Linked DNA regions of Styela clava. The protein of the gene in region 1 binds, or shares a complex with, the protein of each later gene. Links are inferred from orthologs where the notes say so. Each region holds a gene or a part of one and is shown in the gene's direction. Other genes may lie near its edges.

What was found. The genes of interacting proteins can lie anywhere in the genome.
Region 2: cysteine desulfurase-like (region 1) and LYR motif-containing protein 4-like share a complex: the UniProt entries of both Drosophila melanogaster proteins name them as parts of the mitochondrial core iron-sulfur cluster (ISC) assembly complex. The link is inferred for Styela clava from reciprocal best matches to the Drosophila melanogaster genes Nfs1 and bcn92.

Annotation. Positions count from the first base shown.
Region 1 is NC_135251.1:29,316,024-29,323,204, forward strand, and holds the start of cysteine desulfurase-like, read left to right. Parts: upstream 1-4,124; 5' UTR 4,125-4,281; coding exon 4,282-4,283; intron 4,284-5,311; coding exon 5,312-5,486; intron 5,487-6,086; coding exon 6,087-6,239; intron 6,240-6,552; coding exon 6,553-6,635; intron 6,636-6,875; coding exon 6,876-6,984; intron 6,985-7,181. UniProt on the Drosophila melanogaster protein: Catalyzes the removal of elemental sulfur from cysteine to produce alanine. It supplies the inorganic sulfur for iron-sulfur (Fe-S) clusters.
Region 2 is NC_135255.1:1,696,657-1,703,410, reverse strand, and holds LYR motif-containing protein 4-like, read left to right. Parts: upstream 1-4,385; 5' UTR 4,386-4,547; coding exon 4,548-4,624; intron 4,625-5,270; coding exon 5,271-5,391; intron 5,392-5,867; coding exon 5,868-5,924; 3' UTR 5,925-6,205; downstream 6,206-6,754. Other genes in the region: uncharacterized protein LOC120331577, read right to left, coding at 6,207-6,229, 6,304-6,399, 6,573-6,650. UniProt on the Drosophila melanogaster protein: Stabilizing factor of the core iron-sulfur cluster (ISC) assembly complex that regulates the stability and cysteine desulfurase activity of Nfs1 and participates in the [2Fe-2S] clusters assembly on the scaffolding protein IscU.

The DNA of each region.
Region 1 (7,181 bases):
TGAGACCTCAATCATGGAGGCAGCAGCTTCATCAATTGTTGCTCTGCAAACTGTCACAAGGGAAAAGGTAAAGTTGGCCACTGCCAGCGACGATCACATGAACAAATTAGTCGAAATAATTGAGTCGGGAATGCCAGATAAGCGAACTGAACTTCCAACACCGCTACGAGAGTATTACAGATTCAGGAACGACCTCTACACTGTGGACGGGGTGATAATTTACAAAGATCGAATCGTCATCCCCCCCACGTTACGCGGAGACGTTCTACGTGCCCTTCACGCCGGACACCAAGGAGTTTCATCAATGACCTCAAGGGCAGAAGCATCCGTGTTCTGGCCAGGAATTACAGCAGCGATCTTAACAACACGCAACAAATGCCGAGAATGCAATCGCATGGCTCCATCACAGCCATGCGCTCCGCCTACATCTCCATATACACCATCTTATCCGTTTCAATGCATTTGTGCCGATTTTTTTCACTACAAAGGTGTCAATTACTTAGTTATCGTTGATCGTTACTCCAATTGGCCAATAGTCGAAAGGACGTCTGGTGGTGCGACAGGACTTATCAGCAGCCTACGAAGAACATTCGTGACATTTGGTATTGCAGATGAACTGGCTTCTGACGGAGGACCTGAGATCACCTCCGCTGCAACACAGAAGTTTTTGAGAGAATGGGGCGTACATCATCGGTGGCATTCCCACACAGTAACTGCCGTGCAGAAGTCGGAGTAAAAACTGTTAAACGACTTATTTGCAACAACACTGGGCCTAACGGCGAACTGGACACAGACTCCTTTCAGCGGGCCATCCTGCAATACCGAAACGCACCGGACCCGGACACCAAAATGTCACCAGCAATGTGCGTGTTCGGGCGCGCAATCAAAGACTTCATCCCTATTCTTCCCGGAAGACATAAACCGCACAACACTTGGCGTGAAACTTTGGCAGCCAGAGAGGAAGCTCTTCGTAACCGGCATATGAGATCGGCAGAAAGATGGTCGGAACACACGAAAAGGCTCCCTCCACTAGTCATCGGAGATCGCGTAAGGATTCAAAATCAGATCGGCCCAGAACCGAAAAAATGGGACAAAACGGGACTGATAATTGAAGTTAGACCATTTGATCAATACGCCGTAAAAGTCGACGGATCCGGAAGAGTGACACTTCGCAACAGAAAATTTCTGCGTAAATACACACCCGTTATTGGACCTCAACCACGACGCGTCATCGACAACGACATCCTTTGTAAGCTCCCACCTGCTCAAAGACAATACACGAGAAAAGAGCCTTTGGGGAACGACGTCACACCATCGGGGGAACACGACGAACCGATCGAAGCCAACGATCACAAAACACAAGCTGAAGTCACAAATCCTAACAGCCCGCCGACAAAAGCAGGAGTGGAATATCCTTCATGGCCTACGGACGCTGACATAGATGTTGACACGTCACCTGAATGGATGCCCCGACGTTCGAATCGTGCTCGAAATGCTCCTAGATGGCAAAAAGACTATGTCATGACTTAAATCCCTCAGAAATATGATCATTTTACTGCATATACTCAGTCTTTCATACCCTGCTACTCCTAGGAAACGGCGCACAAAAGACTTGGGGGGAGATAGTGAATATTTATGTAGACTGTGCAGTGTGTGATTTAATGTTAACTCTTGTTCTTTATTTCATTTCAGTTATTATTGAGTTCCGTCATTGTTTACTAATAAAAGTGTAACAAATGGACTGTCAATCCTATCTAATTCTGTTTGTGGAAGGGTATGCTTTTGGCTTGTTGCTTCTCCAATGTAATTCTGTTTATTTTTAAGATTAATTTGATAAAAATCCTGTGCATTTCAATATATACTAGAACAAAACAAAATTTTGAAATTGTGTCAGGACTTAATAAATACCCTCTACATCACAATACTAGCAAAAAGCGCTGAAGAAAATAATATCAATGATTTCTACGATATCAATATTGTGTTTTAGTAAATTTCCAAACAACAATGCATTATATAAAAACAATTTGTGGAAGATCGAAAGCAGTTTAACAGGGTCAGATGTTCATGAAATATACAATTTATTCTTACACACACTATGTGTGCGGGTGTATGCACGCTTCCCAAATTATTTCCACTCTACTTTGCTTCAATATTGGCATATTTGGGTTAATTGCTACAAATTGAGTAAAACTAGCATACAACTAAAGAAAAAAAAATTTTATTTCATTTTCAGAACGCACTTTTTACGTGTATTTTTGTTTCTTCACATTATAACACTGTTTTACTTCATTTCACCCCTTTTTTCCTTAACAAAAAAATTCAGTAAAATTAATTTAAACAAGAAATTGAAATTAACTAAACAAAAAAGTACTTTTGAGCAGTGGCGAATCTACGTCAAATTGAGCCAATGGGAAACCCTCAAAAATGCACCGACTTTGCCGTTGACTGATAATTTTTACCGATTGTTGTTGAATTTAGATACTTGTACGCCATTATTTGAGTAAAAATCGAGTTTCAATTATTCCCTATTTGAAATAGTTTCATCGTAGCACCCTGTCCAAACGGCCCTCATGACTCGAGGTCGGAATCGAGTGAAGAAGGGGTGACTACATATGGGGGCCCATTCATATCCATGAAAAGTTATTTAAATGAATTTGTATTCTTTTTTCAAGATTTAGGAACAAAGATCTTAGAATAAGGAACGAATATACAGTGGTATGGTGTTTTATGTCACAAAGACCCGATCTAAAGATCGATAAGTAATAACTATCCTAAGTGATTCAAGAGTCTTGCTGCACACTAACACAAATTTATTTCTGTAGCGTTTCGTCTGACCTTGGTAAAGGATCGAAACCTCGCAGAACACCCGTAACAGATCGACCACCATGGACCTTTCCCCGACCTTTAACCCCCAAAAAATTCTTCCTATACTTTACTATTGCAAAATTTTCGCGGTTATTCTAAGAGTGCTTTTGCGAGTTGGCACCTGTAAAATGGGGTATGTGTTTTAAACCATCCCTATGATTCATCGCATACAACAATCTGTTTTTTAAAAGTATCGGTAAATTTTTTTAGCCTAGTCTATCACAGCTATTTCTACACTAATTTTTTATTACTGCAATTAAATTAACACTCATAGGAAGACAGAGTGATCATTGAATTATCTGATTCATATTTAAGTTTCCGAAACACAACTGAAGACTAACGAATAGATTTCAAAAACGCGAAAACGAGGTAATGTTTATACGACCACGCTTGAAAATCTGTCTGAGTGAGAAAAGTGTCTGAGCGGATGCGAAAGGGGAGCATTGTTACGTCACTTTTTGCTTCTTGCTGATTGGCCAATGTCACGAAGTAAACAAGGAAGTCGATGATCGGGGAAAGGTTCATTTAACTTTAAATTCAATCTAAAAAAAAAATTTTATCCATAAACTTCTTCCCGGTAGATTGGCTTTAATCATATTGATATTACGCAATACAAATCCAACAGTAAATACCGAAACACACAGCGCGTAGTATTCTCAGTCAAACAGCCTAACATGCTCAGAGTCAGCTGCCGCAGAGCTGCCTGTATCTTGTATCAGTGTCTGAGCAACATAATTTAATCTAAGACTTTATAAATCTTGAATGGTCCTTTAAAGCAGGGAATTGGGTGAAAGAAATTGAAAGTCAAATTCGCAAATGTAAATAGACCATGTTGACGAGAAAAAAATTCAGCACATGGGGCTATCCTGCTACGATATCCAGATATCTGTCTTTCAGTCTTTAGGTACCGGTACGGTACGGTACCTAATGCAAACAATGCTGCAATGAAAAAAATATGATGGCATAAGATACGGTACCGGTGTGGACCATTTGATCCCATATCAGATTCCCGACATTGACTGGTACCTTAACCGGATGAGAGGTCTTAGTTTGCCATATGATTAAGCCGTCTTATCGACTTTCTTCTCCCCGGGGATACATATGTAAATCCTATCCTAAGTGATTCTTTAGTTGAATCAACTCAACTAATTTAATTTAGGGAGAACAGTGGTCAAAAAGAGCATCTTCTGAGCTTTCTGTCTTTGTGTTGTGATACGTAGCAGATGTAAATATAGCACATCATAGTTTTGTGATTATTCTTTAATTATTAAGGGTTTACTTTTGCAGTTTTTAAGCTTCTAATACTAACTACTGAATAGTGAATAATGTTCAGGTAGACCAAATCGAATACTAAGCAATTTTTTTGGAATTTCAAACTTTAATATATTGGAATTGTGTGTAAAAAAGTCCAGTATCATGTAAGTATAGACTGATAGAGTTACAAAGAAGTATTAATTATAGTTCAGTAGTACTGAAATGGTCATATAGGCTATCCTGTATATAGGTATAGCTATTATTATGCATACCGTAACATTTGTCTGGAATTTTGCTGGTATTCTGATATTTGAGCATTGCTTTATCGTTTTTGCAGTGGTTATTTATTTGTATTCTACTTTGTATTAAATCATATTGATATTCCCAAGCAGTTACTCAATTCGATCTAGTGGAACATAAGTTTAGTAATGGGAACAAAGCATTGTTTAGTTAAAAGCTGACTTTTCAACAACAGTAATTTGAGATCATATTTATCTACCCTATCAACTTTATTTGCCGGTAATAATTGCAAAATCTAGTCTATAGATCATGGGTGGGCATGGTTCTTGAATCAGGGGCCAAAAATTTTGCCCACCTTGACTGTCGGGCCATGTAAGTATGAAGTAAAGAGTCAGACTACATTTTATGAACAATGTTTGCAGTGTTACAAAAGCAACAGTGGAAAACAATAAACCTCGTGCCGAAACTAAATTTAACCGCAATCTCAACAAATTCCTTGAGCTATTTGTAACTAAAACATCAAAATTTCAGTTTGGTTGTGGCAGCATCAGGCGGGTCAGATTGAATTACCCACCGGGCCGGATTTTGCCTATGTCTGCTATAGATGTTACAAGTGATTTGAAAAATATTGTGAAACTTCCCCTTGGCCATCATGACTCTAGCTTCAATCTTTTTTTTTCGAGTTTGTTAGGAATTTTCACTTATATTGTCGTCATTAAAAACAGATTTCAAAGTGAGTTTTTAAAACATGCCAAACTCAGACAAAAACAGCCTGTATCAAATCCCATCATATACGATTATGTGTTCAAATTTGGGTTTAAAAAATTAAATGCAATGAAAAAGAGGATATGTTGGGGTGAGAGGCAAAGAACTGAATAATGTAGGGCTAAATCACCCCTGCCTAAGTTTTTACTGACCACTCTTTTCCCTAACTTCGTTAATTTGTTCACAGGCACTCATTGTTGCGCAAATCCGTCAGTTTGACAAACAAGTACCCACTTTTTACTCGATATTCATCATCTTCCTCTCATATCACTCAAGAAAGGAAATCAATTGCTCAAGCTACAATTGAAAAAGGCCATGGAGAATGGCAACCTGGCTTTCGTCCTGTTTATTTGGATGTTCAGGTAACACAACTATAATGATTGCCATACCAGAAATATTATATTTACTTTAGCTTTTCATGTTTAGCCTACAGAGGAAAGGGAAGTCAATTTTAGTCAAAGGTAATTTATCCAGTGAATATGTAAATGTTGTATGTTAGCATGCAAATAGTTGCTACTTTTCTCATGGCTAGAACAGGCCATTCATTGTGTAGGAATTGTGACTTTAACTTTGATTTGTTGAAATATTACCTTTTTAAATGAGGTTGAACAGAATTGATTATTTGAAAAAATATATTTGAATTCTTGACACTAAAAATGTTGTGCTCAGTTGTGTAATGTTTGATGGTAAGATTGCTATATCTCAAAGATAAGTTTTGAATTTGCATGAATTTTGTAAATTTTATTTTCCAATTGTTTTTCCAATTTGATTAGCTATCGACTGGGAAAACAATATTATCCTAATATAATCCATGCTAAGCACATACAGAAAACATAAAATTCTGCAAGGAGAATATCCCGCGTCGTTCCTATTATCAGGATTTTTTTTATGGGATAGGATTTTGAATGTATAATTATTTCTTCTGAACTTACCTGCATATTATATATTTAACTTTTTACAAGGCCACCGCACCAATGGATCCAAGAGTGCTGGATTCAATGCTTCCATATTTTGTAAGTTACTATGGAAATCCACATAGTCGTACACATGCATATGGATGGCAGGCGGAAGATGCTGTTGAAGACGCTCGAAAACAAGTTGCAAGTTTGATAAATGTAACATTGTTTTAACATTCTTAAATTCCTGTTTTAATATTACACCAGGCAGTACCTGCATAGTTATGCTAAAATAAATTTTGGGAAAAGGTAGATGTGCAAATTAGCCAGGGTAATTCCAACGCAGATTTAAAATATTGACATGTCTGATGACGCGCAAGGGCAAGGTTTGTCAATATAATTCCATTTGTTCTTGAATGCTGGAAAATCTTCAAAGATACCATCTCAAGTGTTAACAAGTGTTTTTAGAAGATCAATTGAATTGAATAAACCAAAATTGGTTATAATTTCACTATGTTATATATTTACATAGGCTGATCCACGTGAAATTATATTTACAAGTGGAGCAACTGAATGCAATAATATTGCTGTAAAAGGAGTTGGGCGATTTTATAAGTAAGTAGACTTATTTAATGTGAAATTTCAGCCAGCTTTAAATAGATATTTTAATAATTTGTATTCGTTGTATAGCGATTCCACAAGTTGAAAATGCTTAACTTTATCAGCAAATTATAATTGAGTACTGTATTCAACTGTGTAGTCTATTATTATAACAAAAAAGCCTTCCCTTATATGCTAACTCAATTGAATACATTTCTTTTGTAACGCCATTTCTTCAATTATTTTTGTATTCAGGAGTAAAAAACGTCACATCATAACAACCCAAATTGAACATAAATGTGTGTTAGATTCATGTCGATCTATGGAAAGTGAAGGCATTGAAGTTACTTATTTACCTGTGCAGGTTTGTCTCTTCTAAGATATATATATTGGGAGTTCAATATGGCTCCATCTGACCATTTGTGCATTCATTATATTGCAAAGCACTAAGAATTATTAGAATATAGCTGGTAAGCTGGTTGTTTACTTTCTGAGAGCTTAGTAAATGAAATAATTTGCTATTTCAAATACACTTTGAATAGTAGCTCAGAATATGGAATA
Region 2 (6,754 bases), on another chromosome or scaffold:
ACTTTGTCACCCCCATATTCAAAGTTATGACCAGAGATAGATGGTCGCTTTTGCCCAGTGCTGCAGTTTTGTTCACTTCCAGCACCAACGCAGAATTTGTACTAAATACCTGGTCAAGTTGCGATTCTTGCATGCAATTTCCAACTAACCTCCTCCGAGTAACCTCATTTTTGATGAACCATGAATACCCCAGTTGTATCAAGTTTTCCATAAATACATTCTGAGCAACAATTTTCTGATTACCTGTTTCAAACACAGAGCTACCAACGTTCTAGTCAATATCAGGCAGATTTACATCACCCACAATAAGGATATCCTCGTCTGCTGATGCTTGAGTCAGTCTGACCAGCTCATATAGGATGTTTTCATTACCTTCATCATCTAGTGAAGGTGCACGATACAAACAAACCAATACAAATTTGACAGACCTCAGAGATACGTAAACAGTTACACTTTCAAGTGATTTGAAGAACTGTGCTCTCTCAGCATTAAGTCCCGAGTGGACGTAGATCAGAGATCCACCTCCTTTCCCACTGAGAGTTTCCCTGTCTTCACGGAATAAATTATAGCCATTGATGTGCAGCTCTGAATCAAGGAAATACTGATTTAGATGAGTTTCAGTTATGCATATTATGTCATATTTACACGCACTTATCAGAACCTTTAGTTCATTTAATTTGTTAGAAATTGAGTTTGCATTTGTGTAGTAAATTTTCATAGTCTTGATCTGTTCCAAGCTAGTTTTCATACATTCATCTCCACTAGACTTTTTTTTGCAATTTTCTCAGATTTTTTCTTCCTGTCTCTCTTTCCTTTCTTTGTTGGTATTGGACCTCACGCTCAGTTCTTGTTAGATCTTGGTTAATCCAAATGTCATCCTCTAGTTTCCTTCCCTTGCCAAACTTGTGGATATCAGATGCTTCCTCCTCATTTCTGAGAGTAACTAGTATGAGCCGTTTGTTTCTGTTTGCACTCTCTCCAGTCTCTTTCTTACCTATATGGTAGCAGCTCAAGATGATGGAGGACTGGAATCCAGAAATTTTACTCTTAATTTGTGAGTATACAATTTGCTTTATGTCCTCATTCCCAGTTTCCGCCAATCCAGAAATCACAATGTTGCGGCTTCTTTTTCTCTGTTCCATTATATTCGAGTCAATTCTTTTCATACTTTCTTGCAATGCAAGATCTGAAGTTTCTTTTACAGTCTGTTTAATAAGATTGACTTGGCTTCCCGAGTTTTGCTCCTTAAAGCAATCGGCAAAACTTTTGGTGGTTGCCGATGACCCCTCTCCTACAACAGTCTTAATGATGTCAGGAGGACTTTTTTTATTTCATCTTGCACTGCATCGCTTATATTTTTGCTCGATTTTGCAGGTGTCAACAATCCTAATGGTTCTACAACCCAACTTGGGCATCTATATTTTATTGATACAATCTTTTGTGATACCTTGTAAACCAGCACACTCCACATGCCACCACGATGTATTGCACTTCTTTGTACCACACTGTATCCACAGTGCACCATTCTTTTGCTTCTTACAAACACAAGATGATTCAGGCATACTTGAGATTAATTTAATTAATTAATTTAATCTTAATACAACCAAATACTCCAATTGGATTTCTTTCTGCGGGCAGTTGATAATAATTTTGAAATTACCGCAGAGATCGCAGCCATTGTTCTTATTAATGGCACGACTAGAGGCTTTGGTCTGTTGGGATCTGAGAAGAAAAAGATCAAGCGTCTTGGCTTGTTTTTGGCGAAACTTTCGAAAATAAGTACTGATGGCGCCCCATCAATGGTTGGGAAACAACAGTTTCATCGGTACAAAAATTGTGAAAGTTTGGTCTGCGGGTATTGTTTGTATTTTCCTTAACCTGTAGTCAGTGTAGCAAAACTAGAACATAATGCCATGTTAATAATGCCTTAAAAGCAATCATTGCCTTATTGAAATTAATTTTGATACAAGCGCCAAACAAGAGCCGATAACACGAACCATATGGCGAACCACGGCCTCCGATCCATGTCGAGTATGGGATCAGTTAGTTATTTGGTCGAAAATGGTCCAGCCCAGTAATTAGCAACCGGAATTCCTCGTTATGAACATTTGCTGTGATTGGCATATTTTATGATATAAAATTATACAAATTAAGAATCAAAGATCACACTGAACTGTAGAATAGTCTACTAAGTACTAGGTGCAAAGATGGGGTCTCGTGTAGTTTTGTACCTAACATACTTCTAGTGGGCGTAGCATAACAATTTGTTCACATGTTAATCCCAACCCCCACCTGACTACGCTATCCAAAAATTATGCCACAACGACATCACAATAACGTCATAGAGCTTCCCCATTGATATACACCTCAATGAGCCCTCAATATCCGTACGATCGCCCGGAATGGCACCTGCGCCAACAATAAGGACTTGACGAACGTCAGCGATCTCTCTCATATCGCGATCGTCGCGACGAGAAAACGAGAGAAATATCTGCTCGATTTCGGTTGCTCGTCTGCGCGTTTTGGATGATAGATGGCAGTGCCAGTGCGTAGAGCAGGGGTCGGCAACCCTTTGTCGCTCGCGGGCCAAAATTAACCCTTTCCATGCAATTTTTATTTTTTATTAAATAATCGTATTTGCTACGCCGACTTTATGCATTTGTACCCTCACAACTAATCGATCGACTAACGAAAAAGTAATGATCCTCTGCTGCCCACTGACGGCTCGTTGGAAAGCTTATTTAAAGAGCTTGCAATAGGCGATTAAAAAATTTTTTTTTTTCAAAAGGGGTGGTCTGAGTCACAAACCGGATAGAAAAAAGGCATTTTTTTTTGGGTGTTGAAACTTCAAACCGTAATAAAAAATAGAAATATTCGCTAAATCCTTTACTGTTACCGCTTCTTGGTTGGCAAACAATAGCATAATATTGCTGTAGCAAAAAACACCGAAATTTGCATAAATTTCAAAAACACTCCCTCATTCCACCGCAAATAAAATTTCCATGGTAAACGAAAGCGAGATTTACCGTCGCTTATGTTAATCTCGAAGAAGACTTCTTATCAATAAACTAAAACCCGGAAAAACTAGACCAACAGTTTGCGACCGATTGCTAAATAAAACAGTGGAGTACATCAACGTACCCGCCGCAATCTAGCGAGTTTTGTCGTGGGTACGTATACGTGCCCATCGCACGGAAAGGGTTAAGATTGCAAGTCATTGGCGGGCCGCACATATTTTTAGAAAGTTGAAAAATCGAACGGATGGTACTTTTTATAATAAAAATCAAGCAGTGATACATCTCTAGAATAGAATATAGATTTATTTCCTCATTGCATCTCATAAAATTCTATTTGAATATTTTCAGCGCCATTAAACCCCTTTGCACTTAGCATAAACTTTTCTGCGTTTTGTTGCCATTTGCTTAATTATAATTAAATTATATGCTCAATAAACGAGTAATTGTAAATTATATAATTGTTAGGTTATAATATAATTTAGTCTTAAAGAATATATTCTTCAAAACGGATGTTTTGTTACTATAATTTAGTGAAGCGTCGCGGGCCGGATCAGGCACGCAGGTTGCCGACCCCCGGAGAGTCTGAAGTGCTCTATTAGGTCGCTGTGGCGTGATTTTTGATGACGCAGAATTGACATATGCAGTATATGTTACGGTATGCTACGCCAACTAGAAGTACCTACTTTAGGTACGAAACGGGTCTACACTAGACTAGTTGTATTGTAATGTACCTTTATAGACCCGAGAGGGTAACAAGTGCTATAACATTACAGCAGTATAACCAGCGGCTTGCGCTCATTCACATGCACTCACACACTTTAAACTGTCATAGCTAGTCACAGCGAGTCTTCAGACAATTATTTTTGGCATGCAGACCTTTCGCTTAGCAGTCGAGTTTTTGTACTGTTTGTAGGTGTAGCCCTGTATTTGAACTTGTTATGTCTTTTTTTAATTTAAGCTGATGAGATATCAGTCTGGGTTCGTCTGTTGCTATTTAATTTCTATGCACAAACTTATAGCGTTGATAGGAACTGAGATAATTCTTAGTAATTTGGATTGAATGTTTCTGAAATTTTCATTTGGTGTTACTTAAAAAAATTATGAAATAATAAGTGTTCCACCACTTCATCGACTTCGTGCACTCAAATTATGGCAATTTGACTATGGCTGGTTACTAACTATATTCAATTTTGAAATCCCAATAAAAATATGAATATGGTGGGCAACTAGTAATATTTTTTTGTCAAGTTTTCTTTTTTGTTTGCTGAAAAATAACTATGTTTTAGATGAGTAAACATGTAGATGTAGGCAACCACTCATTTCTGCAACACCTTATAATCTACATTGTTTGTACATTCTCTTGATTTAATCAGTTTTATTTATTTGTTTTTTTCAATTATTATATGCCCTTTCGCTGATGATGGAGTAACTAACAGTTGAGTTACATATAGAGCAACCAGTACATACCAAGAGAAAATTTGTATAGTAGTTTAATGTTCAGATTTTCGTCACACCGGCATACTGTTTATTATGGCTAAAGGAAGAGCATTGCAACTTTATAAAGCATTGCTAAAAGAAAGCTCGAAGTTTTCGGACTATAATTTCAGGTTTGAATAAAAAACAATAGGCTTAATTTATAACATTTCCTATTTGACACTGACTGACTGAAGTTCAAGAGATATCATGCCATGCTAAAATGAAAGCGCTTTGGTTTTTGACATTATAAAATTGTATGAAATTTGACAAAACACAAGATCAACTTAGGTCATAATGAGTTTGAAAAATAGTAAGCTGTTGAATAGAGAAACGCCTCTGCCATCTGGGCAGAAACATATGATTGCTGTATTACAATGTCTGACCATGTGAACCACATTAGAATCCACTTGCCATTGCACCACACAAGTGGATTTGCAAGTTTGATTAGTACAACAATGTGCCAGCCGAAAGCCTTTGCTTAGCCCTGAGTGTATGGCTGATTCGCGTAACACACCACTTCTGTCTTAATGACAATATGCTGTTCTCTCGCAGACAACAGGCATCAGAGCTATTGTGCGATTATAAAGCAAGCAGTGCTTCTTAATCATTATTTTCTAGCATTTAAATCTTGAATTTTTTCTGAAGAGTTGAGTCAAAGCCCTTCTTATGTAAATTCCTGAAAAAAACTTATGAACTACTACATTATGAATGGCACAGAAGTGTGTCTGCTTTCATCTATCACACCAGTTTGCTATATATGTATTTTTTTATATCAAGGCATTACGCTATTACACGAACTAAGGATGCTTTCCGGGCAAACAAATCAGAGCCAGATCCTGTCAAAATCCAAGACTTTTTACACATAGCACAAAAGAATTTGGAAATGATTAAAAGACAAGTAAATCTCATTTATATTATTGCTCTGTGAGGCAGTGGTTGGCAAACTTTAGGTACTTACTACTGGGCCAAATATGCATATTGACGCTAGCATGCGGTCCACATTAATCTTTGCTGATAAACAATTGTCATTTATATTTCAAATTAAGATGCACCCACAGCATTCAAATTCCAAAATACGACCAACATGTGCCTCTTGCCCACACAAATTACTACCAGAACAAACACTGTGAAAAAGCCATTATTACATACATCTGTGCGCTGATAATAAACTTGTTGTTAAGAGGGCCACAGTTATGCCAACGCTGCTGTTTGGCAAGAGATCAATCAATCCAATGATGCCTTCAATTTGTGGTATATTGAAGAATATTAGATTTAAATACAGCTCAAGGTGCGAGATGATCATGTCTCCAGTTTAAACACCACGAAACATGTGATTACTATTTGACTCTAATTATAATGTGTTCTGTTTAACAGGTAACAATTGGTGAAATGTTCAGAGCAGAGAGACTTATTATTGATAACGATTCATAACTACAAGCAATGATATTTCCCACTCGAATATCAGAGCATTTTTACCTCCGTATAGTTTCTCCGATCCTCATACATTGTTGTGTTCACGAATATCAAGTCAATGAGCCCAGTAAATTATACATATTGCTGATTAATATTGTTGGGGGGGTGATTATAGTCTCTATCTGTGTAGCACGGGCATCCCACTTTTACTGTGATAATAATGCTACAGACTTATCAATCTTCATTTTATGTTTATTGAATTTTCAAACTTGAAATAATAAATAAAAGATGTAATATCATTCATTCCTCTGCTCTTTTCGGATCTGGAAAAAAGGCAATGCATTTGTGATTGAATACGCCATCAATTGCACTGTTTATTAGAAAATGCAATACTTACATGGATAGACATAGGATGTGCGGTAATTCTCAAAAATATACTGATTTCTTTCCTGTCTGTGCTTTGAGAATGGAAGGTATATGAACGCTAAAGGAACTGTCAAAATGATAGAACATGATTGATCAATTTGTAGTAAGCAACAAAATATATAAATGGATTCATGAGCAAATATTTTAGGAGTTAACTGATGCAATAACACAAATGCCTTCATTATGAGAAAACACTTCATAGAAAGAATCTAGCAATTGCATGCAATTAAGCGGACATACCAACGATAAAGAATCCTACAATTCCAACCACTCTCTCCCCATGTTCATATAAACTTTGGCGAATGAATTTTCCAATTTCTGGGAAAAAAATATGTTCGATAAGTTTCCGGGTAGAAATGAGTTAAGAACTAGGCACTTGTACATTTCAAAAACAGGTAAACAATGTTTTCCATTCGTTTAAA